2 linked regions of the Ovis aries genome follow. The protein of the gene in region 1 interacts with the protein of each later gene in a pairwise test. Links are inferred from orthologs where the notes say so. Each region holds a gene or a part of one and is shown on either strand. Other genes may lie near its edges.

The links. The genes of interacting proteins can lie anywhere in the genome.
Region 2: the proteins of TRIM54 (region 1) and SH2D1B interact in binary tests that used the Homo sapiens proteins (3 or more experiments, as listed by UniProt). The two-hybrid records come from large-scale screens. The link is inferred for Ovis aries from reciprocal best matches to the Homo sapiens genes TRIM54 and SH2D1B.

The regions. Positions count from the first base shown.
Region 1 is NC_056056.1:34,380,722-34,383,208, forward strand, and holds the end of TRIM54 (tripartite motif-containing protein 54), read left to right. Parts: intron 1-538; coding exon 539-772; intron 773-1,040; coding exon 1,041-1,063; intron 1,064-1,179; coding exon 1,180-1,304; intron 1,305-1,438; coding exon 1,439-1,531; intron 1,532-1,834; coding exon 1,835-1,851; 3' UTR 1,852-1,987; downstream 1,988-2,487. UniProt on the Homo sapiens protein: May bind and stabilize microtubules during myotubes formation.
Region 2 is NC_056054.1:113,921,963-113,925,462, reverse strand, and holds part of SH2D1B (SH2 domain-containing protein 1B), read left to right. Parts: intron 1-604; coding exon 605-770; intron 771-2,894; coding exon 2,895-2,932; 3' UTR 2,933-3,500. UniProt on the Homo sapiens protein: Cytoplasmic adapter regulating receptors of the signaling lymphocytic activation molecule (SLAM) family such as CD84, SLAMF1, LY9 and CD244. In SLAM signaling seems to cooperate with SH2D1A/SAP.

The DNA.
Region 1 (2,487 bases):
GCTTGTTTTTAACTACGTAAAAGAGTGATGATGAGAATGATATGATGGCTACCTCCATGGATCTTTTTGAGAATTAAGTGAGATAATACAAACAAAAACCAGAGTCAGAGAATTAGGCAGCAGCACTCAATGAAACTCCTTTAAATATATAGTGTTATTTTCTGAGAGAGTAGATCTTAAAAGTTCCCATCACAGGGAAAAATTTTTGTCCACTATGTATGGTGCTGGATGTTAACTAGACATATTGTGGTGATCCGTTCACAACATATACAAATATTGGATCATTATGTTGTACACCTGAAGCTAGTATGTTATATGTCAATTAAACCTCAACAAAGTATATATCAGTATTATTACTGAAAAGATCTGGGAACCAGCAGCCCTTGGGTGGAGTCCGGTCTCTGCCACTAATTTGTGGTTGTAATTGACGGGTCACATCTCTTCTTGGCTCCCCGTGACTGCCATTAAGTGGGGAGTGGGACAAGTAGCCTGGTACTCTCCCAGCTGTGAGGTCTCATCCTTACTCCTGGTTTTTCAGGAAAACAGCCGGAGGCAGAAGCAGTTGCTGAACCAGAGGTTTGAGGGCCTGTGTGCAGTGCTGGAGGAGCGGAAGGGTGAGCTGCTGCAGGCGCTGGCCCGGGAGCAGGAGGAGAAGCTGCAGCGAGTCAGGGGCCTCATCCGCCAGTACGGAGACCACCTGGAGGCCTCCTCTAAGCTGGTGGAGTCTGCCATCCAGTCCATGGAGGAGCCGCAGATGGCACTCTACCTGCAGGTGGGCCCTGGGGGGAGGGGGGCGGGCAGTGGCAGGCCACCTAGTGGCTGGAGTGGGGGCCTTTGCACTGGGAAGCCGGGTTCAAGTCTTACCTCTGGCTCCTACTTGCCCCGTGGCTTTGGGCAAGTCACCCTCTCTATCCATTTTTTTCCTTAACAAATTGGGACATGCATCCCCCCTAACCCGCAGGACAGTGGTGGGCATCAGAAATGGGATATTGCTGGACGTTGGCACAGTGCTTACTCTCACCCTCCTTTCTTCCCTGCAGCAGGCCAAGGAGTTGATCAATAAGTGAGTAGGTGAAGCGGGAAGGGAGAGGAAGGGGTGGGCGGGGACTCCACTGACAAGGGTGGGAAGCGGGGGTAGTGGTGCTGGGAGTCTCTAGCTGAGCCGCTGGGCTGCTGCAGGGTCGGGACGATGTCGAAGGTGGAGCTGGCCGGCCGGCCGGAGCCGGGCTATGAAAGAATGGATCAATTCACCCTGAGCGTGGAGCATGTGGCGGAAATGCTGAGGACCATTGACTTCCAGCCAGGTGAGGAAGCCAGGATGGGAGGGAGCGGCCAGCCGCTAGGACTGGGCGTCCAGACCCTCTGGGTCTGGGAGGGATGGGGGTAAGACGGCCAGAGAATAAGGGACCCCAACTCACCCAGCCTTCTCCTGGCCTAGGCACTTCTGGAGAGGAAGAGGATGAGGAGGTCGCGGTAGAAGGGGAAGAGGGCAACGCAGGAGCAGAGGAAGAGCGGACGGATGGGCGGGAAAGTGAGTGTGGACATCGGCGGGGCCTGGCGGGGACCCCCTTCCACCGTCGGGCCATCGTACTCTCGGGGGCATTAGGGATCGCTTGGAGCCCCTACTCCCAACCTCAACCAGGAGGGGCGCGCCCTCTAGCGCGCCGGCCCAAGTACAACTTTCTTTAACACTATCCATCTCTCTGGGCTGGTGGGAGACCGGGTTAGGTGGGGAAGTGAAGGAGAAACCCTCCTGCTTAGAGAAACGAGTGAGCTGGGCTTCGGAATTGCCTTGTTTCTTGGGAGCGCCCGCCCACTGAGCTTTCTTTCCCAGGCACAGGCCAGCACTGACTCGCTCCTGTTGCGGATCCTGCGCACCCGGGTCCTGGCGCTCGGATGGTGAACGACCTGAGCAGAGACCACCGTACCACCCAGCCCGGCGTGGCGCCGCGGGGGAGGGGCTCAATAAAGAGTTAATGCGTCCCGACCCGCAGCTCCTTTCACTGCTCACTCTCTGAGCTTCTGCTTCGGAGACATAGCATCACCATCCATCCTGCCCTTCTCCAAATCTGGGACCTCTTGGGGCGAGGACGGGTGGGGGTGGGGTGTGTGAAGCGGAACGAACCCTTATGGGGCACCTCCTTGACATTAGGCACGGATTCGCGAGCCCAGAGCCAAGAGAAGAGGGCAGGGGGGTGGGGCGGCGACACTGGGGCTTGACTTCCTGGAGACTTGGAGACGATGGGGACCCCAGGACCCTGGCAGAAAGCGGTTCTCACGGAGCCCTCCCACAGCATCTGGTTCCCTCTCGCCGGCCTGGGAGACCCCACTTCCCCGCGGGCTCACACCCTTCTGTGGCTCCCCGCGCCCCCACAACAGAGGCCAACGGCTCTTCAGCACTTTTATTAAAAACCGGTAACGCGGAGAGTGCTCAGGGTATCCCTAGGCCGCTCTAGCCCTGCAGGACTTGGTCAGTTCCTGTCGCTC
Region 2 (3,500 bases), on another chromosome or scaffold:
ACCTGAATCATGCTGACATTTCCATTTTCAATTTAAATCCGGACATTTTGGTCTTATTTTCCTCTCACGGAGATTCTGAATTCAAGTATGTAGGCTTTTATGATTTTTTTTTTTTTTTTTTGGCTATGTGGCTTGCAAGATCTTAATTCCTTGATCAGGGATTGAACCCAGGACCACGCAGTGACAGCACTGATTCCTAACCACTGGACCACCATCAAGTACAGAAATTGCATTTCCCATTGAAGTCTGCCTGCATTAGTCGCTTACACTCTCACATAAGCTCTTAGAGGGGTTACCCTCCACAGGGTACGGACAAGAGCTGCCCCCACATTGCCATAGATGGGAATTCACTCAATACTGCAGACTGAGGTGGGGACCCTTGATTGTTAATCCTCTTTACTCACAGTAGCTCAAGCCAGAGCTCTGTTTTTAGAGGGAAGGTTTCTGTGTTTTGTGTGTGGTGTGAGCTCCCACACATGAAATGCCAGCCACTTGTTTTCAGTTCGCTGCTCAGAGGCAGCCCTGAAAACCACTGTTGTGAGAAGTGTCACCTTTCACACATAGTTGCGTGGTGATGAGTGCTCTCCTTCTTGTATTTTTGCAGACTGTGGAAGGTGTTAAACGAGAGATCTTTCCAAACCTGAAGGAACTGATCTCCAAGTTTGAAAAGCCAAATCAAGGACTGATGTTTCACCTCGTAAACCCAATAAAGAGAACCAGATCCTGCCTGAGATGGAGAAGATCGAAGATAGAGTTGGATGGTATTTATGGTAAAAACTTTCATAGGGGGCCCAGACAAGAGCCTTAGTCCCACTTCTACTACAGAATCCATACAGATAACTGCTCCTTTCTATGATGTTAGCTCTAGAAAGCCTCATCCTGCGAATAGCATTTTTCTATCTTGTTAGGAAGCAGTGCCTTCATGCTCCTGGTGGTGGCAAACGCACAGAGCTCTCTGTGCTCAGGCAACCCAGGGAAAATAGTGGTCCCCGGGCATTCCATGCTGCGGCTGCTGCTGCTAAGTCGCTTCAGTTGTGTCCGACTCTGTGCGACCCCATAGACAGCAGCCACAAGGCTCCTCTGTCCCCGGGATTCTCCAGGCAAGAATACTGGAGTGGGTTGCCATCTCCTTCTCCAATGCATGAAAGTGAAAAGTGAAAGTGAAGTCTCTCAGTCGTGTCCAACTCTTAGCGACTCCATGGACTGCACCCTACCAGGCTCCTCTGTCCATGGGATTTTCCAGGCAAGAGTACTGGAGTGGGGTGCCATTGCCTTCTCCCAGGCATTCCATGAGTCAACTTCAAACTCACCCTGTGACCTTGTGCCAATCACATATTTGGGAATAGATGGCCAAAAAGCAGAATTTTCAAATAAGAAAATTGCTTCAACTTCCTTCTCCAAGCCTCATCCTGTTACATTTTGCTCAATATTTGCTAAGCATTCATTTATGTGGTGTTAGTGGACAAATTGGGCTTTCCCGGTGGTCCTAGTGGTAAAGAACCCGCCTGTTATTGCAGGAGACATAAGAGATGTGGGTTTGACCCCTAGGTCTGTAAGATGCCCTGGAGGAGGGCATGACAACCCACTCCAGTATTCTTACCTGGAGAATCCCATGGACAGAGGAGCCTGGTGGGCTACAGCCCATAGGGTCGCACAGAGTCAGACATGACTGGAGTGCCTTAGTAGGGAGCAGGGGGCTAATTATTTCAGATACACCCCAAGAGTTATCAAGCCATGGTGGGAAATGAGAGTGCAGAGGATCAGTAAATCTGAGTGCACAGGATCCAGGTCATATCCCAAGCAGTGACTCTTGTGTACACCCCTTGAAATCTGTTAGCAGAAAAGAATCTAGTATCCATCAGTCACAACATAGTTCGAATTTAGCTCAGACTTCCTGAGACATTTACAGTTTAACCCTGTTTTCTCAAGGTGGAATGTATGGTTAGAGCCCCATTAAAGGGATTTCAGTCCTCAGTGGGCAGGTGACGTAATGGGAGCAGAGTGCTAGCTAGGGAGCAAGGAGGGGAACAGAGGGTTCCAGGAAGTCTGCAGTCACCCCATACCCATTGTACTCTGTCTACAGCCTCGCTGCCCTTTAGACTGCCAGAGAAAGCTTCTCACCTCCCCAAGACTGAACACAGTTTTTTAATGAGAAAACAGCCCTCCCCTCCCATTGTTTCTGTCTCCCTCCCCCAGGCAGAGGAGTGTGTACCCCATCACAGAGTTGCTTGCTATAGTTATAGCTGCAGATGTGGTCCCATGGCCATTTTCTACCATAACTTACAGAAAGAAATAAAAATACAAAGAATAAAAGGGGGGCAGAGGAGCAACCTAGGGATGTACTCGTGCTGCAGTCCTTAGGCAAACCCTGATGAGCTGCTCGGGGTGCTTGAGGGTGGCGGTAGTATTTGTCTCAGGGATAATAAAATAACCACAAATCCCAAGAGGAGAACCCTTTGGAGTTCATTCCAAGAGCTGAGCGGGAATCTCGCCACACCAGTTGTCCAAGCTCGGGCAGCCTTGGCAGAACGAGCTCCCAAATCCTCAGCCATTAAGGGGGAAGGAACTTCTTCTGAGCTGCTCATCGTCTCCCCCGCCCCCGTTCCCTTGGCCACCTCAGAACAAGCCTCACGTGTTCTCACCCTCAGGGCGGCACAGGTTCTCTGCTGGTGAGTGGAGGCATCTGGTGCTGGAAACTCTTGTCCTTGACTTATAAACAGGCCCCCTATGTTGCCAGGAGAGCTCCCTGTGGTGCCCCAGCTCTTGAAGGTGTCACTCTGCTGTGGCATCAAGACCACCCTGTGCCTGGGCAGAGGGCTTCTTTCCCACGAGAGGTGTTGGTCAGGGTGACTCCTGGGTGCAGAGCCTCACGGCTGGTCTCCTTTTCTCCCCAGAGAACAGTGGCAGCGACTATGTGGATGTCCTGCCTTGAAGGGATGGAGACTGGATGAAGCGCTTACAGAAGAGATGGGTGACAGCTCTCGCCAGCGATCCTGCTTCTCCTGCAGGTGTGGGTCTGGAAGACCAAACTCTAGGGGACAATTTAGACTCTCCTGTTCTGAGTGACTGAAGATGTTTTGTTCACCAGCTGCAGAGAAATCAGTCCCCTTGCCCTGCCTCCCATGCTTACCAAACGAGGAGCTTCAAAACCCCATTTCCCCTCCCACTGTTCTTTCTTGGAATAGGACCACCTGAACCTATTCTTGACTTGTTAAAGGTACTACCACTACAAGACAGTTGACATCTGGTCAACTGGGAGAGAAGAGAGTGCTGGTGTCTACTTTGGAGCCTGAGTTCCAGTCATGATGATGTGACTGCAGACAAACCACTTCCTCTTTCTAGGCCTGTTCCTTCATTGAAAAACAAGTGGCTGGGCAGAGGACAGCCGATGCCCCAGCCTCTTTGCTGAAGCTGGTTGAGTCAGGTGGCGTTGGGGAGCCCCTGAGTGATGGACGTGTATACTGGATCTCAGACTCCCAAAACAGCCAACACATTCTCTG